Drosophila melanogaster: one gene and its partners. The protein of the gene in region 1 interacts with the protein of each later gene in a biochemical or structural test. Each region holds a gene or a part of one and is shown in the gene's direction. Other genes may lie near its edges. The genes, in order: dpr20, DIP-epsilon and DIP-zeta.

Evidence for each region.
Region 2: the proteins of dpr20 (region 1) and DIP-epsilon form a complex in vitro, tested with the Drosophila melanogaster proteins (one study listed by BioGRID).
Region 3: the proteins of dpr20 (region 1) and DIP-zeta form a complex in vitro, tested with the Drosophila melanogaster proteins (one study listed by BioGRID).

What each region holds. Positions count from the first base shown.
Region 1 is NT_037436.4:851,587-859,721, reverse strand, and holds dpr20 (defective proboscis extension response 20), read left to right. Parts: upstream 1-2,473; 5' UTR 2,474-3,051; coding exon 3,052-3,379; intron 3,380-4,678; coding exon 4,679-5,135; intron 5,136-5,311; coding exon 5,312-5,426; intron 5,427-5,578; coding exon 5,579-5,816; intron 5,817-5,874; coding exon 5,875-6,052; intron 6,053-6,116; coding exon 6,117-6,253; intron 6,254-6,316; coding exon 6,317-6,441; 3' UTR 6,442-7,002; downstream 7,003-8,135. Other genes in the region: Dci (Dodecenoyl-CoA delta-isomerase), read right to left, coding at 7,374-7,769, 7,829-7,948, 8,008-8,135.
Region 2 is NT_033779.5:6,407,911-6,414,302, reverse strand, and holds the start of DIP-epsilon (Dpr-interacting protein epsilon), read left to right. Parts: upstream 1-2,976; 5' UTR 2,977-3,476; intron 3,477-5,742; 5' UTR 5,743-5,919; coding exon 5,920-6,058; intron 6,059-6,392. Other genes in the region: CG13982 (uncharacterized protein), read right to left, coding at 232-880, 937-1,122, 1,445-1,599.
Region 3 is NT_033779.5:9,067,089-9,073,381, reverse strand, and holds the start of DIP-zeta (Dpr-interacting protein zeta), read left to right. Parts: upstream 1-2,217; 5' UTR 2,218-2,550; intron 2,551-6,293.

The sequences.
Region 1 (8,135 bases):
TACCGGCAACATGGATGCCAACGACAATAAAGAAATACATGAAGAACTTGACAATATAAAGAAAAATTCCGAAGTCAGTAACGACAATCTCCAAAAACAAGTAATGTTTAACAACGAAATACTTATCCGGTTCGAAAATATCACGGACCATATAAATAATGAACAAATTTTGATAAGTAAATTCTTTGATACCTCACAAAACAAAATATACAAACACTTAAACTTACAAGATACCCTTCTGGAAGAAATACAATATTTAAATAGGATTAATTATAACATAGAATTATTCATTAACCACCTAAACGACATAACAGAAAGTATGCTATTGGCGAAAATAAATATAATTCCCAAGTTCATCCTAAATGAACAAGAAATGGATAAAATAAAAACAATACTGGAAAAACAAAATATCACAGTCAAAAATGAACAAAGTATATACAATTTCCTACAAATGAATACACTAAATTACGAACAAAAGATTATTTTTAATATCAAAGTCCCAATTTTTAAACAACCTTTTCATACCCTCGCCAGACTAGTTCCATTACCAATAAATAACACATATTTTGTAATAACCCCAAATTACCTAGCTTATAATATTAATAATAAGAAATTTCATATGACCCGTAAATGCCCCAAACTGGATAATACATTCTTGTGCGACGAGAACTTCTACGTTGATACACCACAGAACAACACATGCCTGGAACACCTTTTGAACGGAGAAAACAGTTCCTGCGATGTACGGGAAACCGGCCCCATCACCGACGTGTTCGAGGCAGAGAGAGGTTACATCTTCGCATTCAACGTGAACAAACTGAAGGTATCCCTAACAAACGGCTCCGAGCTCTCAATAATGGGGTCAGCCATCATCAGATACATTAACGAAACAATACAGATTAACGGTATCGATTACGACGGCACGGTTGACACGTTCCCTGAACAGACGGATTTTGATCTTCCCCCCATGCGAAAAGTAACTAGGAATACCACTATTACGGTACTAAGCCTAGAAAAACTGCACCTCGAAGCCACCCAAACAATGGATAAAATCCTGGCCGTCCATCACAATACTATACAGCACACCTGGACACTCTACACTCTGCTCGGATTGGTAACGTTCCTAGCAGTCATCTTATGGCTGCACCGACGAACGAAACACATCGTCCACATCCACGAGGATCATCACGTACCAATCTACGCGTCATCCATACCTTCGCTATGGCCGTCACTTCGAACTGGGGGGGGAGGAGTTACCACCCCACCCCCTAAACCCCCACGCCTCTAAACAAATCATCGGACACTCAACCGGGAAGACGGCAACTGGAACACCGCATCCGGCCGAATGCTGACATTCCGGCCGAATGCTGACATTACACAAAAGTCGCACTGCAACATTGTCCCCAGCTAGCCAGCCACATGCCGAGTCGGCATGTTCATTATGCTTACAATTAAGAACCTATGTACTTATGTATAAGACGAAAACGGAGGACTCGAGTAGCCACTCTCTGACAATAAACTTCATACTGATTTTGAACTTCAAGAAAGTCAGTCGTATTCTTTATTGGAAATCTTCACACTACAACTATCTGCTGAAACTTAAAAACCTTCATACATTTACACATCATATCTTCACAAAAGGCTCCACCCTCGATCACGGACTTAACTCGCGCGTCTGATAAGACGAGGTTCGTCTGAAATGGAAGTCCGAGATACCAGACCAGAGCCACAACAGAGGCCAATCATCCCCCATGCTATCCACTATAACAACTCTTCAGCGAGTTGGTCTAAATGGACAGTGAAGACCCACGTTGACTAACTTCTTATCATATATCGTTGAGAGTTTGAAGCCTAAGAGACATATAATACTTTGCGTGCCACAATGTTGAATCTTCATTTGGAACTTCGTTTCTATAACCTTCTGCTGGGGAAAAACAATTAAGGGAGGTTATACTGTGTTCTAAATAAGTGGCGCCCTCTGGTGTAGCACAGCACATTTATGGAAAGTATGTTATACTCGCTTGCTTTACCATAATTTTTACTTCTATAAAAATTTTAGAAACGAAGAAGCAACTGCTTTATGGAAATTGTTCCATACGTTGCGAGTTCCAAATAGAGGTCAATCCAATATACCCATATACATCCTTATTAATCAATCTATTATGATATAGATACATTTTTTATCCCATAAATATAGTCAAAAAATAATTTATGTCTGATTTTGATACCTGATAATGGTTATATACCTTATCAATTGACTGCCTTGAACTGCTTATTCCGAAACGAATTCCCCCACATAAGCACCCCTCGTTAACTCCGAAAGGTGAGTCCTTTTAAAAGGACTCCTAGAGACACCATAGAGGGGAAAAACTTAACGAAACAAGGACATGCGCAGATGGGAAAAGAGAGAGATCATCCTGTGGTGAAGCCGAGCACAGGACGAGCAGGACATTAACAACAATTGGGACCCAGTTCCTTAAGCAGTCATTGGCGAAGCCTTCAACCGCGTAGACGTTCTTCGCAAAGAACCGGATGGACGAGTGATCCGTACTCCCGATTTCGACCAAGTCGGTGTCGTCTATTTGGTGCGTGATGCAGTTCGAGCCGTCACTGCGACCTGCCTTCGTTTCGGTGCAACTGAAGAATGCATGAGGATTAGGTCCGCTGCCCAATGCATTTCCCTCAGATCCTGTCCGGATTCAATCCTTGTGTCCTTGTTCCGTTCTGTGTCCCCTGTGCATATTACAAACGGTGCATTACAAGCGTGTGCATCAGTGAGCCCCGAAAGTGAATGAATCCCGAATATGATTCGAAATCGTAACGATCGTTCCTAGAGCACATGTTAAGCTAATCAATAAGGATATCCCTGCTGTATGTGAAATTAATCAAGTTGATATCTACGTGACGGCCAAACCAAAACGAGCAGGCAAGAAAAGACAAATGGCCAAAGTGCGTGAGACGCCATAGGTGACCCCAAAAAGGTGACCCACAAGAAGGGGAAATAGTCGAGTCCAATGCAGTTTGTTAGAGCCGACTACTTGAGATTGCAAAATGCGTTTGAATGAACCAGCTGCAAGAACGCGACCCAGAACTAAATCAACGACAGACGCCACCAAGTTCTCATCATCCAGGGGTGACCTTCACCTCGATTGCGCCGTGCCCAACCTGATCAGGCTGCTCCTCCTCATCGCAACGATCATGGGCTCCGGACTCGTCCAGGCCAAGACAATTTACGACTCGGTTAACATGATTCAGTCGCTGGATGCCTTGGTTGAGCCACGGGAAACGACCAAGGTTCCGCTGCAAACAACGCCAGCCACGCCCCCCACTGCCCACGCCCACATCCACAACCAGGTGTCCACGTTACGGAGTAGTTACGGTAGGCAAATTGCGAAATTGCTACCCGCTAGCTTTGCAATGCGGTTAATGCATAATTATATAATTGGTTTTCAATTATCCTGCTGACTCAATTGCTTCGCAGCCATTGTACGTGCAATCATCGTGTCCAAAATGCCTTCTGGAATTTCATATACCCTTGATTTAACCACATGAAAGGAGACCTCTTTCAGAAACTGAAACTTATGGTTTCCGAAAGGAGGTCAGCACATAATCAAGGTTTTTTAAGTGAAATGAAAGGGGTTAAAACTTCAAAAAAAAAACGCAGAAGTTGAAATTGCAAGTGAAAGTGATTAAAGATTAAAGTAATGTGTCTGTTTTTTGGGCACAGAAAAGCCCCACAACATTTTAAAGTTTATTGGTGCGTGAAAAATATAATAATAAACTAATAAAGTGTCTTTGATTGAAAATATTATGCAAATTGTTTTTGTATAAATTGAATGACAGTTTGCTGTCAAAAAGTTCGCTGGAAAAAATGCTCATATTAGGAAATACTATTTTCCTAAGTATTTTCAAACATTTTCTATGAAGAGCCGGAAATGAATATGTATAAAGAATATAAAGGATTTGTTTTTGATAAATTTCTCTAAGTTCCAAGGAAGTTAATGAATTTACAGTCCAGTTAATAGTTTTTAAACTTTCACTTGTTTGTTCATTTTACTATGACCCAAAAATTTCCGAGTTTGAAGTTTTTTATTTGCAGAGGCAAAGCACTTAAAGTTTTAAACAGTAAATTAAATTTTGTGCACAGAACATTTAACTTTCCTAAATTTCAATACATGCGATGACTGCGAAATATTTATTTGTTTAGCTTTGGCGTAGTAAACTAAACATTTGTATTGTCCCAGTGTATTCGCAACGAACAAACAAACTCCGCCACAAATATCGGCCAACTTGGCATTAGCATATAGACATATAGCTATAGATACAGTGGGGGACAAATTAATAGGGGCGACAGTCGTATTGTGAACATGACTATTGTTATAAAAACCATAAACTATGTTTAGTTATGGTATAGCTGGAAATAGAATGCTAAAAAAAGTTACGTTTTAAACTCAAACGATTTTTCATTTTTCTTTTTCTGTGTATCCTTCAATTGCCAAATGGTCCCAGTAAGAAAGTAAGAATAAATCATCCTTAAGTGTAATGCTATTTTTGTGAACATAGCTGTTCGCACACTTGAGTGGTTGAGCAATGTCATCAATTGTCTCGCCCACATCTCCTCCTCTCCTCCCGCAAAGCCGAAACATAGATTTCACTAAAATCAATAACTCCTTTGCAGAGGATTCAGATGATGGCGTAGATGGCGATTATGTCATCCCAGAGAGCCAGACATCTACGGTGGCGATCCTGGATCAGGATTCCTCCATGAAGGGCCAGGACATGGAATCGTTATCCCTGCAGGCAGGATCGGGCACAGTTTCACCAAAGAGCAGCCCCGATTCGTCCGGACACAAGAAGAACGCCTCCTTCCAGCAGATTGGCAGCCAGAATGTTAACGCCTTAGTGCCGGCCACAGTGGCCACCACTTCATCCGGCCTCCCGTCGAGCAGCAACGCCTCCTTGGCCACGCCCACGGAGCCGGCGAGGAACCGGAGCACCGGACTCGTCCGCAACTCCGCTGTCAAGGTGGACAGCAAGCATCCACTGTCCAAGGGCCAGAAGACGGACGCACCCATGCTGAACTACATCTTCGACACGTTCTCTTCGGCCAATAAGCACCATCATCACGATCAGAGGTGAGTTGGATAAAATCCCTGAAAGCCATAAGATCTTTATTAAGTCCACATCAGCAGTAGCAGGTTATCCATCGTTTTAAACGAGCTTAGTCGGATTTTAGAATCCTTAAATTTCCTTTTCTATTTAATTAAAAAAAAAAAGATATAAAACGAGCTGATTCCGTGATTCTGTGCAGGTATGGCCCCCACTTCGAGGATGTGCAGCGGATTGGTCAGGCCACCAATCTCACCGTGCAGGCGGGCTCCAGCATTCACCTGAACTGCAGGATCTCACTGCTGCAGGATAAGACTGTGAGTTTAGATTATGAGATGCTATTCGAATTGAATCGAATTGAATGATTTTTCGGGGTCACCATATTTAGGTTCATTACTTAGTCTCAAAAAGATAAATCCTTTTTAGTTGGTATAACATAAAAATGTATGTTATTTAACTTTAAAAACAGGTCTCTTGGGTGCGGCACAACACGCAGGACGAGGGCAAGGACAATGGCAACGCCCTGGACCTGCTGACAGTGGGCATGCACACGTATACGGGTGATAAGCGCTACAAGATGGAGTTCCAGTACCCAAACAACTGGCGACTGAAGATAACCAATGTGAAGAAGGACGACGAGGCTATCTACGAGTGCCAGATCTCAACGCATCCGCCACGCGTCATTCAAATCAACCTGCACGTTAATGGTGAATATCCAACTCTCTGATGGGTAGCAAGAAAGGGATTTAGTATGCTTTAACACAGCTCCGAAAGTGATGATAGTGGACGAGGTGGGTGATCCGCTGCAGGAGAAGTACTACGAGATCGATTCCACGCTACAGCTCTCCTGTGTGGTGCGAAACGTGGCCATGACCAGTTCCGTGGTCTTCTGGAAGCACATGGACAACATCCTTAACTACGACGTTACTCGCGGGGGAGTGAGGTGAGTGAATTTAGCTTGGTCGGGGTCACCATCAGTAAGGTTCATTTATTACGTATCCTCGCAGCGTCAAAACCGAACTGATGGAGGATGGAGCCAACTCGACGCTCTCGATAGCGAAGATCAGTAAAACGGATTCCGGCAACTACACATGCTCCATCAGTGAGTTCCAGAACTTCACCATAGTGGTTCACATTCTGAACGGTGAGTTGGTGTAGAGTATTCATCTAGAGTAGGAACCCATATCATATCAGCAATCTCTTCCAGGCGAAAGCTTCGCCGAACTGCATCATGGTGGTGCGGTTGGATGGCACAGCACGTGGTGGAATATGGTGATGCTGCATGCAATGGCACTCCTTGTGCTAAATAGTCTAAGGGGGGAGTTTAGCTAAGGTAGCTTAACTAGGACTAGGTAAATTGAGAGAACATCGTTCTCCCGTAGCTCTTTTTGTTGATTAATTGTAAAGTTTTTGAATTTGGAGGGGCAGTTATTGGAAATAACTTAAAACGCAGCCTAAGTTTAACTGGCTATTATAGATATGTTTCTACGTCTATCATCAATTTGTACATGAGCAGGCACGCGTAGGATTAAGCTAGGATTAAGGACTAAGCTCGAGTGTATTTGAAATCCGGAGAGAGGCCAACGAATTTCCCTAGCAGAGTGTCTCACAGTCAGAGTTCATGGTCTGGCCTAGATCTAGATCTATATAGATCTAGTTGATACAGGAATGTAAAGCGTAGTGTAATCTAAGTCACCACCAGTTCATAATCACGGCTTGTGCGGCAAGGATCTCAGAGCTCCTGGGGGAACTACTCACTCAATGTTGAACTAGTATAAAGTGCAATACGGTCATATACATATTATATACATACACACTCGCGGCAGAAGCATCAAAGGATATGTTAATAAACGAATACTCGTATGTACGCAATAATAAAGTGAACTATACATGAATCCAATTTGAATTTCGCAGAAGGGCGGGAACATCGATGGAATTTAAAATATATTTATATATTTATTCATATATTACACATTCTATTATCTTGACCACAGCTGTGCGATTCATTCACAAACAGGTAGGTGGCGTTCTTCAATTGTTTTTAATCAGCACTTTGGCAATATATTGGTACATATGTACATACACAGATAGTGCAAGAGATTAACCTATGGTTATGGTGCAAAAGGCACACATTATGTCCCTAATCTAATCGCTAAGAAGTCTATTTGCTTTGATGTTTGTGCCACAAGAATTAGCATTCATATCTCTTGGGTTTTAAAATAGGCGGACAAAATCACTGAGACGGTAATAAACTTAAGCCGTATTTATAATTTCGCCTTGTTTTTACGGCTGGCAAAGTCTATGATGGCCTGGGCAAACTCGGGATGCTGGAACTGTTGGAGCAGCTGCTTGCACTCCGCCTCGTTGGCCTTGATGAGATTCTCCAGGAAGCCATCCTTGACGAGGCGTTTCCCCTGCAGAAGGGAGTTCGTCGGCAGCTCGGAATACTGACGCAATTTGGGCCAAATCACCGACTCCAATTCGCTGGCCTTGAAGATCCTCGAAACAAAGTTGAACTGATATGCCTCCTGGGCGCTCAGCGGTTCGCTTAGCAGCAGGATTTCCGACGCCTTTGAGCGCCCCAAGATGAGGGGCAGCATATAGGAGGAACCGCCCTCTGGCACCAATCCCAGTTTGGTGAATGGCGTGTAGAAGTAGGTCTGCGATGGTATTTATCAGTCAAGTCATGCTGCCATAGCAAATTTGAGGCAATACCCACCGTTTCGGAGCACCAAGCCACATCGCACAATCCCACAATGGTGGCTCCAATCCCAATGGCAGGTCCGTTCACCAGGGCAAGCACAATCTTTCTGCAGTTGACGAAGCTCAGAACCATGGCCTTCAAGTAGGGATTGGATAAATTATAAAAAAATGAAATGGGATATACAGATGTGCCACCTTGAAAGTCGCATTGGACTGCTTGAAGAAGGCGTCGATGTCATCGGTATTGGAGGATTGGGACAAGTCGTTGCCGGACGTAAAGATGTCACCCACGCCGGTGAAAACCACAATGGTTACGCCCTCAT
Region 2 (6,392 bases), on another chromosome or scaffold:
AGACTGGAACATTAGTTTACAGATAAAGTCTTTAAGATAGGAAAACTGGTCAGCCAAAATTAATAAGACTCAGATGGCCAGTATTCCTGGCCAATTAAAACGGAAACGGATTTCAATGTGTCTTTCAAAGACGTGCTCTTTACAGGAAACTACAACTGCTCATTAAGTCTGCTATGTACACCTCTTAACCTAATACTATGTGCATGATAGGTCGTCTTAAAGTGATTCCAATCAACTTACATGGGCCTCCAGCTGGGAGTCGCCAGCGAAGTGCGTTGCCCGGAACTGAAGGCCCTCGGTGAGCTCCTCGACCGCAGCTGATTCCATGCTGAGTCCATCGCCAGTCTCCTGCAGTACATGGTGCTTCAATTGCTCGATCTGATGCAGCAACTTGAGCGTTCTATCATCCAGATTGTCATCCTCCAGACGAAGCTGACGCTGCTGCTCTCGCTCCTCGTCCACGTCCCATTCCAGCGACTCTGGCGTGGATATGTGCGACCAGGAGTTTTGCGTAGACGAACAGCACGAGTTCCGCGTGAGCGAACCTCCGTGGCGCTGGCAACTCAGTCTGGCTTGGCGCGCCATGTGTCGTCCTTGGCTGGTGGCCATCGCATTGGCTGCCGCCAGCTGGTCTAAGGATGCGTAGCGCGGCTTTGGTGGCGTTGGTGGCAGCTCCTTGGGCACCTGCTGGCACTGGTACTGATACTGCCGCAGCTGTGAGTACTCGTGTTCCCACTCGAGATCCAAGGAGGAGCTGGCCCGCGAGTTGGCCATGCGCTGGTAGGCTCCAAGTCCCATCTCCGTCTCCCGACTGGGCGTGGTCTGGGCGTTGAGCAACTTGCCGGCGTCCAGGTTCTGCATTTGAATGTCCGCCATGGCGCTGCAAGGATTAAGTTGGTTTTATTTCTAGGAGGCACCTTAGGAGACTTAACATACGTGGTCGGCAGCTTGGCGTAGCTGGGCTGCTGCTCCCAGTACTTGTCCAGGAAGCTGGGACACTGCTGCCTTTTCTTGAGCCGCAGGATGCGGTAGATGAATCCGTTCCGTTGGCAGCGCTGCCTGGTGGTCCTCGATAAGAGATCTGCCTCTGGATCTTGTCTTCCTGCAGATCTGTTCTTTCGCCTAGAAGATGAAAGATACCACTTTTTATTAAAGATGTTTTTAATAATTATTATAAAGTAAAAGCTTTTGTTAACTCTTAAAGAATATCACATATAACTAGTATTTACTGTTTACGTATTTGGTTGCAGTAAGCACCCACTTGGGCGGGAAGCCCGCCTGTGGCACATTGTTTTGTGGCAACCAGCGGCCGTTGCATAGTTTTAGGCTGTTGACCCCCAACTAGCCAATTCCACCCCGTGCTTAGCCACTATTGATTGGTCAGCGGATTTGCGCGCGAACGAAAGTCAGCGGAGTTGAGCTTCAACTAATTGGCCCCACTCACCAGAGCCAGCTGTTGGCCACCCAGGACGTGGGGGGAGTTGTCAGTGAAGACGACGTCGAGGAAGTCGAGTGGGTGGTGGAGTCGGACGTTGAGGTGCAGGCGGAGTGGGCTGGTGCGGCGGCAGCTGTGGCACAGCTGCCAAGGCATGAACCCATGGAGAAGGGGCTGCTCCTGTCGCTGCTACAAGATCCTTGCTGGCTTCGATGCGGCTGCACTTGGCATTTCACGTCACTTTTTCGCCAGCCAGGCGCCACATTTCATTACGCTCGGGTCAAGGCTCCGCGGTGATGGCCCCTTCCCGTGGGCTTTCCGATTACCCTTTTGGACTCCGGAGCCCCTTTCAACGCAACTCCACACACTCCGCGGCACAGAGCGTAACTGTTTTTCATGCGCCGAGTGCGTCGACGTCAGTGAGTGACGGTGACGCCCCCACGCTTTCTTGGCTAAATGCTCCGTAAGCCTAGTGACGGAGTTTCTGTTTGGCCCTGCAGCAGTTGGGTGGTGGGTGGTGGCCACCTTTTGAGAGTCAGCTGTTTCGACTGAGTGTTGTGGCTTTCGCGTTTTGCGCTGTCAAGTGGCTAAAGTCAACAGGAGAGCAAAGCGTCTTGTGACAGGAGCTTTCGTCACTACTTAAAGCTTAGACGGACGCTCAAAGTTAATAAATTCACGGCACGGAGCGCTTTCGACTAGCAGTAGCTTTATCAGGGGTAATAACGGGAAATGTTAGGGTATTGCAGGACCGACATGATGAAGCTTTGCTTGGGGTGTAAAATGGGAAATGTTAAGGCTTGTAGGACCAAATTGTGTGAGCTTTGTTAGGGGTTATAAAGGGAAATGTAGAGCAAAGAAACCAAGTTCTTTTATAAATTTCTCTTTAATGAAGTTTGTATTGCAGCATCCTCTTCTTAAGATAGCGATGTTAACAGCAAGCTAAAGAAGTCTTGCCTTTTGAACTCTGACATTTATGGTCACAGAACTTGGAAATGCGTTTGCAGTCCCTAGCTGTAAATGTGTTAAAGTGCTAAGCTATTATTCCATTATGCCCGCTCAAAGACCAAGTAACAAATGTTCAATGATTAGCGAAGATGAAAAACATGTTTTCACTGTAAGACAGATGAGGGAGTTTTGAGGGATAACTCAAAAATGCTTACACAAGTGATACGCCCTGCTCTATTATGTTCAGAAAGAAATAATACGTTTCTTTATTTAGCTCACATATGCACATACTAATACTGGAAATTCTGCGACCTTTGGCTTTTCTCACATTTTTTCTCTCACATGATGAACATAAAATTTAACCCGCCGCATTAGCTGACGGAACGGATAGTGGAGTGGTGCATTAAAACACTCGGCGGATCGTTGGATTGATTGTTCGCTGTTTTCGGGGCTGTTAGTAGCAGAAAGTGCTGTTTGGCTCTGCAGCCAGGGCTATAAACATATGTAAGCTAACATAAATCACGGCCAACCGCAACATTTGTTTATCTTTTTAACATGCCGCAGCCGAAGTGAATCGCACGACGGGATGCTGCTGCCAGTGTGAAATCGGCTGTCGTTTCGTTCGGTTGTCGTTAGTCTGCGGTACCGCATCCGCATCAGTATTCGCAGTCGCAGTCGCAATCGCTTTTGAATCCCGAACCCGAATCGGTAACGGTATCAGAACCAGAATCGGTTTCGTTAGACGTGCGTGGACGTGGTCTTTCTTATTTGCACTGGCCAAATAGTTTAAAATAGTATTTTCGATTGGCATTAGTGGCGGCGAATGGTTGTTGTAAATCAACTGCTGTGAGTGCTTTTATTCGATATCCCATGCCATTTATGCACCTCCGCTGCCCACCGGAGGAGCTGCTGGCTTTGTGACGGCGTCTGTGTGTCTGCCGCGTGGTCCCCTAATTTAGTTATGTTGCAAAAACGGAGAACGGCAGAGGGAAACATGAAAATCCGTTGTTATGTTGTCTCGCTGCTCTATTTATAAATTGATTTGCTGATTCCTGCCGACATCTGACGCCCCATCCAGCAGCCAGACATTGCCACGGTGAGTTATTAGTTTCTGGAAGCAGGGCGACATCGGATGGAGGAGAACGAAGTTGCAGATGGGGCATCATTGAATAGTGAGTTCGCAGGATGGCCTGTTTAGGGAGCTGCATCTTTTACAAAGGATCCTTCCGAATTGGTTTACATCTGCTGGGAGAAGCTGTGCAGGCAATTGATTGCACTTTGAATGTTTCATTAGCCGGCTTTCAAAATAATGCGAATTGTATGCAAATCTAACTTCAAATTTAATTTTCTTTTTGTTTCATTTATGAAACTAAGTACTAAATGCGTAGCAAATTATTATTATTATTTACATGGCCAATGGCATCCTCGTAAAGACCAATATCTACTTGTTTAAATTAAACCATCCTCTGTCTTTATTTCCAACTTAAATTGTGCGTTTCCAGTTCCCGCGGCACAGTCTGACTCAGATATTTATATATCTTCCTGACGGCCGTCTACGTGGTGGCAATGTGCACCGAAGTGCAAAAGCCGGCTACTATATATGTAAACAAACGTGCAGAAATCTGCAATGATTGTCCGATCGAAAAGATTAATATACCGTGGAATGAAATCGTTTTAAGAGGTAATACGAATTTACGATGCGCTGTTTGCGGTTAGTGTGAAATTGAAGTTTTATGTTCACTTCAGTAATAAATAAACACAATCGTCATTAAAAAGTTAGCTCTAAAGATCGAATCCTTTGGGTGACACAAGCACTTGGTTGAATTCCCTGTGCTGTGGAAAAGAAAAGAAATAATAATTATAATTAAATAATTAATTTCATTTTGATTGATTGATTCGGTTCGGTGTGATTATAGTGCAGAAAGGAAGCACTCCTTTCTCATGCTATACGTACTTTTACCCGAAGAATACGATAGAAGATTTCTGCGCCACGGGCTTGTTGCTATTATTCGTTATTCATTTTTGCGTGTGAAAGGAAATGTAAATTGATTTATTATGCAAAAGCGAGTAAATGCTCCCTAGGAGACGGAAAGACAGAGCAGAAGTCAGACCGGCGGAGCATTCACCGCTGGCTCCTTTTCATCATGCGGCTACATCACTTCGAAGATGTGGGAAATATCCTTTCTGTCTGCGGGGCACAAACATTGCTGTTTACAATGATTTAAATGCATTACGAATTCACGGTCCATTTACATTTCGCGGTTAGTTCTATGGATGCAACAATCGTCGTCGCGTGAAAATACACCAGACAATACATTTTGGTGTACCAAACTATCACGTATTTATGTCATTCATACAATAATACATATATTTTTGACCATCAGTTGGTTGCTTATCAATCAGGTGAACTTTGGGTCATTAACGCTTAAATCTAAAAAACACATTTTATAAGAAACAAAATTGAATCTTATAAGATGTCAATGGTTCACTAAAATCTTCCTCAGCATAACGTTCAAAATCTTTGTTTAGATATCACAACCAAAATGAATGTTAAGTCGGCCGGCTTAGAAATCAATTAAGTTTGCAATTCGGTTTCAATAACCCTTACTTAATGGAAAATCCACAACAGCTGTCCCCAAGGAGGCATTCTAATTGAAATGCATTCATATTGCAATAGAATGAAGAAATTGACGAGACTGGAAGGACCTCCATGGGTTTACTTGACTGCCGTAGCCGGAGTGTAAAACAACAGCTGACAGAGCAAATTGCTTTTCGCTTATGACACGAGCAGGAATTAAAAACAAGGAAAAAATTCTTCTATGCATGCATGCAGCAAAACAACCACGAAAAGGAAGCTGATAATTCTGATGGTGACGATAACGTTGTCCCTGGCATTTGAACGGATTTGAGGTCGTTCGGAGACTTAGGGTTCGTCACTGCTCTGATATCTTCCTAATGCTGATCCTCTTTATTGAAAACTCCTTAATCCGTGAAAAAGATGCAAGCCAGGTGTGGGTCTGGTTAAAATGGCTCATAAAAATCTTAAGCATAAAAAATGGTGTGTCCGCTCGTCTGTCCGTATGTATGATATACAAAATCTCTTCAACTATTATAAATTTGAAAGCTTAGATTAAAGTTTATAAGATATGATTAAGTACGGTTGTAATCAATAAGCCGTGTAAAGGGTATGGGATAGCCGTGTAACACGAAAACAGGTCTCATTCCTTGCGGTAAATGGAAAATTGAGCAATGACAAATTAAATGTACACTTAAGCCTAAAAGCATGAAGCCATGTATAATTTCTTTTTTTTATTAATATTTTCATCAATAATGGCAACCTATAATTTCTCCTCATATTTCAGGGGTAGCGTGCATAAAAGCCAATCGCAATTAAACGTTGATCGATTCCAAAAGCAAACACAACATGAGCCGGAATATACTGTAATGCTGCACAATATTTGTACGCAATAAATAATTAAGTTTTCTTAATTGAAAAGCTAAACAACGGTAAAAAAAAGGGGCATCAAACTTACAGCAAAATGGCATACCACCTCGAAGCGATTTCTTCGTTTCTGTATGTGGGCCTTGGTTGCCTGATTGCCTCCTCTGTGGCACTAAGTACAGATACTGGAAGTGAAGGCAACGCCGGTAACGTCGGTGGCTCAACCCTAAATAATGGTGAGTAAAAATAATATTTAGGAAATTAATGTTATGTCCTTTATTATAATTATACTTATTGTATCACGAAAGGAAAACCAAAAAATTCTGTTTAAAATTATACTTCATTCTATAGCAAACAATATAGTTAAAATGTTTGCTGCAGATTGCTCTTTTTTGGGGTTTTTAAATGCAGGGAACGATAATAATAAGTATTTGTATTAATCAAATAAATGGACTTAATATGTGCAATCATCATTCTCTTTTCAATTTGTAATTTATCCGGAAAAGTAAAATATTGGTGCACTAAGCTTTATTCAATTAATGGTAAATAATGATGATTGTAATTTTAAAT
Region 3 (6,293 bases), on another chromosome or scaffold:
TGTGAAAATTGCTGGAAAAATGAATGCATGCTTATGGGGAGTTGGTTTTAAATCCATTCCATTTTCGCCTCCGCTGGGAAAATGGAAATGCGACGTCAGCCTGCGGTTTTTTCAACCCTCAAAATTACGTGATGTTATTACGTTTGTTGGCCATAAAAGGGTCTACAAATCTCCGCCCATTAAACTTTCGATTCTCATCTTTAATCTTGTTTTATTACTCGGTCGGATTTTCGTACATGTATTGTTTTGTTTCCTAAACTCAAATATCCCAAATATAAATCTTACCAGACAAGCCGGGGCAAAACTTTGCCGATAGTATTCCCCAAACTATTTTACCTCATTTGGGCAGTCCTTAGCAGAGAGACTAGACTGCAGGGCATACTTAACCAAAGTCGCAGACAAACTGCAAAAGAAATTGTGAATATATCTACACAGGAAAACAGGAACCAAACTTTCCATTTTCAATTTGCTGCAGACTTTGGCTAAGTACCAGAGAAGGAGGTCCAATATTTCCGACCGGTTTTGTATACTTTTTTTCCATTTTGTTTAGCTCTGTCTACTTAAACTCGCATTGAACTGGAAGAATAACATTGAACAGCAAACAATCAGCAGTCAAAAATTTCATTGTTAAGGCGGCAGCGGGAAAAAATAGCAAAACAAGTAGAGGGGAAAAACAGGAAACTTTCGGACAAGGCGTGAAAAATACAAAAAGACTGGGAAAGAGAGAAAAAAACTTTTTCCATGGTGAGAAAAACTTTACAAAGCAGCCAACAAAGTGTTGTAATGGCTGGCATCCAAAGGGATCCCCCGTCCAACGCTTGACTTTTGACCCAACGAAGCGAATGTGTTGCAACGACCTTTGTGGCCTTTCCGCCTCCGCCTCCTCATTCGCCATCACCTAATCCACCCGCTCCACCCACTCTTCCTGTTTTGGTCACATCCTGGCGCAACAGTCGACCACGCCCACTCGCCGCCCTATCACCTCTGGGATTCCCCCCACAATGAACTTGCCAAGCGATGGTGCACGTTTCTCCTTGGGTGTGTGGTGTGTAGAGGAATCCCAGGGAGAGGGTCACAGAGCAGTCATCTTGTCTGCCGTCTAGCCTTGTCAGTTTTAATGTTTTTGGCATTGAGCGATGTCTGTGATTTGAAAGAGTTCATTAAGATAGTTCAGTATGGCCAACAGGGAGAATTCATCACTCTCATATCGCATACAATCCGTCTATATATAGACTAACTTTCAGACGGATATGCATCGTTTTTTTTTCCTTCTGCACAACTGACCAGTGCTTGTCGAGATGATTACAGTGCCCTTAAAACAAGGTCTAGTTAAAAAATAGCAAAACTTTTTTCGTGCACCTAATTTAATAGGATAAAATCATCATGAAATACTTCAAAAAATAAGTAACTAAAAATATTATCTGTCTAACCATTCAAAAATACCACTGTTAACTTTGAAAAGAACTTCTTAATTAACCGTCTACCAACTGACAACCAGCTTTGCTAGCTCAGTCAGTCATAAAACGCAATTATCACCCTCAATTAGATGGTCCTGCATCAGCGAAAATCGAATAAGCAACGCTTGCAAATTGAATATCTCAAATTAATTGCACTTTTTTCGCTCAACATACGCACATGGACTTGAAATGAAATGCAAATAAATTTAATTAACTTGTCTAATTAAATACTTGGCTCCAAATAGCAATATGCAGCAACCAACGGAAAGCAAAAATGTGTTTTGATTTTGTTTTCATTTTATCTTAATTCAATTATTATTAAAAGGGTACAGCTTCAGCCGGAACGAGCCAAAAAGGTTCGACGGCGGAATCGGCATGCAACTCGAACTTTGAGAGGTGATTTTGGGGCATGGTGTTGCAGGTTGGACTCTGTTAACATTTTTGTCGCGTGTTTTGCGGTCTGTTGTTGTGGTTGCGGTTGCACGCAAACAACAAGCCTCCGAACATAACAAGGATACCGGACATAACCAGCAACCGGCAGCAACAACTACCAATGAACAGCATCCAGCGTCCTTTGGTTGGCTTAAACCGAAGCTACACTTCGGCTCGCTCTGTCGGCCGTCGGCTCGTCCCCGCCTGTTATCACTCGGCCAACGCGGCGTATACGTAACAGCACTTCCCATTCGTTAGATTTTCCCTTATTGTTGTTGGTGGAAAGCCAGAGCCCGGCTCTGTGCGAGCATTAGGTTTCGTCGGCAAATCAGTTTCGCTACGGATTCTGCACGAAGCGGACGCGTTTTATCGGTGTTACACTGAAAGATCCCCGGCAAAGGGAAAGTCGTACTCAAGTGTCATGTGATCGATGCCAAATTAGAAGCACCTGACTCAATGTGATCGTGTTGAGAAATGACTTAAAAGTCGAGCTAAAAAACTTAGGTCCACTTGATTATAAAATTTAAAAAAATACCAAAACTTGTAAGCGTTTTATTGAAAGATTACAATTTGTAAAAGTGGTTGAAAACTTGGTATATCATACGTAACACAAAACTAACCTACAGAATTAAATATTCACAAAAATATTCTTGTAGTTACAGTATGTAAATTAATTATTTCAATACATGCAATTCATACTATTAAGGTCTTAAACAGAAGAACAATTTGATCATCGGAAAAGTCTTTTTTATTAATAATTCATAGAATAGAATAGAAACTTTATAAAAATATGGAATTTTAAATTTAACAAACTTTAGATATTATTTATAAATATCAGTGACAGAAGTATATTAAATCGAAAGTTCCAACAATTTTTAAAAGTGCGAGTGCCGGTTAGGATAAGTAATTATAAGCTATGTTAAAAATTGAAAATGCAATAAGGAGTTGGTTTAATGCGTTTGTTTCGTTACGCTATATATTATATTTATGTATAAAATCTTAATTACAATATATAATGTAAAAGGTTTATGTTTGGGACTGCAGATCATTCAAATGCAATTAAAGACTTCGATTTATCTTAGTGCGAGTATTTCAAATAACTGAACTCCATTTAATGGTTAACCACAGCTACAATCCAGACCACAAACTCACATGTCACTTGTCAGGCCCTCGAAATGGGTAAACAATTAACAGTTAACTCTGCTAATGCACATTTCATGCCAACAAAAAGTAAACAAACAGCGAGACTATCTCCAGGACCCTCGAAGTCCTTAAATCCCGAAAACTGGCAGACACGCACACAACGCCATTCTTCAATCTGTGAAAAATTCCCAAACAAACTTATATGCGAATAAATGAATCCACTAGAGTTCACTTTGGGACAACTCGCAAAAAAAATAGTCGAAGGGGAAATTTGTTGCGATTGATAAAGGACAGCAGTTGTTGCCACTGCAACGCAATGCACAACACACAAACACAACCGAAAACAGCAAGGCAAATATAAACAAAGAATTTAGCTTAAAAATACATTAACCCACTGCATCCATGAGAATCAGGATATGCAGGGAAAAGGGCCAGGACCCGACTGCCAACTGCTGAAAACTTGCATACTTAATGGAGTAGGAGATAGAGACAGACAACGCAGAGAGTACAGTGGGGCCTATGTGTTACTGGACACAACTGTATTCCAAATGCAGAATAAGTCTTTGAGTATGAATATTGTCAAAGCTCATTGTAAACGTTTCTTAGCATTTTGTTACAATTTATTAAAAAAAAAAAATATTAAAGAGAAATATTTAATTACAGTATACAACATTGGAAACTAATAGAAATTGTTGTAAAAATACTTTACATAATTTATTCAATATACCAAGACTTAGAATGGATCCACCACTAATATCAATATATCGGTTCTTATGGTCCAAATATTTTAATTCCATTTAATATATAATTAAGATTTAAATTATTTCATATTTATAACATATGTGAAATGATTCATTTTGTTGGGTATCCACTGTACAATGGTATGTTTTGCATTCAGGCATCATTGCAGATCAATGGCAATATGGAGCTGATACAGTTTGAGTAAGACACGTAAACACACAGAGCAGAAGAAGGATGGGAAACTCATGGATGTCAGCTGTTTCAGAACTTTTTTCAAAAGCTAGTGAAGAGAGGGCTTATTGGTTCTTTATTTATTTCCATCTTTTTTGAATTCTTTTTTGAGTTCAGCTTTGTTGCGTTTTGTTTGCTCGAGTTCGGTTTGACGTTTGCAGTTACAGGAACTTTACAAATTGTGTAGAGTAAAACAAACAAAATAGCAAAACTTTGATGCTGCTGATGATGATGTCGAAAATATGTGTGAGCTTTGATCATAAGTGCATATTTATTGGTGCGTTTATTTGGTAAATTTAGTTTCTATATTGCACTTCTGAAAATATAATAGAGTACTTTATCCAGATAAAATCAGAGTTAAATTGAGTCTAGTTAAGCTTGTATTATCCGAATAAATAGTAACGTGAACTAACGAATTTTCGATAAGGGAGAGATGTAAGTCCTTAAATAAAACCAAATTAAATCGGAATTTTATTTTCATGTATTTGTATTGTTTGCTGCCAAAATATAAGTGATAGGTAACAGGCACAACCTTTCTAGCTTGCTTCTTCTTTGAAGAACCTTTTAATGTAAATAAATTCGGCCATAGGTAAACATATCTTAATTCAATTTCGGCCTCCTTTGTGCTGCTTTCTTTTCTCCCTTCAATTACCACAAAACCATGAAGGTTAAAAGCTGTCAGGCATTTATAGAAGCTTAGGAGAAATCCCCTGAGAGCTAGGAACATTTTTTTTGGGCTAATGACTATGTCAGGATTAATTTACGTTTACACAGAATCTTTTAAAAAGAAAATTTAAACACCCAATAAAAAATATTATAATGGCTATGAACTTAGTCAGCATAAACAAATAAATGTTATTGTCTCTTTCATCTACGCACCCGTTTAGTTAAGTCCCTTTAATCCCGCAACAATTATAAGCCAATTTGTTTTACCAAAAAGTTATCATTATAAAAACAGCAAAAACCAAACAAACACTAAATAGCCCCATTAAAATTTAATTTCCTAGCATAAAAATACAAGAAAAACACATTCGGAACAAGTTTCTCCCTCAACAATTTATTAATTTAATTACAAACACTTTGCCAAACTCATAAAAAAGTGCATAAAATTTGTTGGACTTCTTGTTCTTGTTTCTGATGGTAAATCTGTTTCGGTCCATACCAAAAAAGCTTTATCATGTGTGCGTGGTTTTTGGGGGAAGAGGTGGAGTCAAAATTGCTTAATTTCATAAGCGAGTCATAAGGGAAAAAGTTTTGTCTCTGTGTAAGTGTTTCGCAAGCTGCGTGTGGACCCCCTAAATAGCTGAAGGCGACACGCTCAAAAGCCATAAAAAATACAATTTTTAAGAGAAAGTTTTGAATGAGATGGCCAAGAAACAGCAACCAGAGTAGAGGACTGCGCGTGACACAACTATATTTCAAAGACCTATGAATTTAAACTACAATATCAGACACATATCGACATGTCCAATGAAAATATTACCAGTAAAATTAAAAAAATTTTTAAATTCGATTTTCTAAAATAAAGTGTCTATACTAAAAATCAATCTAAATTAATATTATCAATTAGATGTTAATACAAATTATGAAGTTAGTCAAATATTGGTGGTGTTTATAAAGTGAATTATATGATATATATATATGATTTTTTATTAATTATATCATAAATAGTTAATGTACAGATAAAATCAAAGCACACTGTGCACATTTCTTTTAGATGATCTTAAGATACTACGGCATAGACAAAAATGAAGTTGTAAAAGAAAAACGAATGCTCGGTGAGGAAGGAAGCGAGTGAAAGAACCAAAACTTAAGATAAACAACAAATGAAAAGAGCATTTAAATTAATTGGCATAAACTTGGCTGTCAGCACATGCGGTATGGAAACTTTATTTCTCCAAGATTTCATAAAGTTCGCAGACTCAAGTATCAAATATGTCGGAAAAGAAATGTATTTTTTATGATTTCCGGTTAGGCATTTTCCGACATTTAATTTTTTGCCCACAGATAAACCATATAAAAAAGGACATTTATCAACTGGTCGCCAGAGGGCGCTCAAGTTGCTACTGCTCAGGCAAATCTTTATGACTTTTTGGTTATTCCGTTGGCCCTTTTTCCCTTTTGGTGGCTTAAACTTTGCTGCAACACGTGCGAACCGCCTACGCACAGGGGGCGTGGCAGGCAGCTAGCGTGCGGCTCTATGGCATAATATTTTGCCAAACTTTATTGAATTCCCCAGCAAATCTGCATGGCATCTGTGTGCATGCGTTGAAAGTTACTAGACAGCAA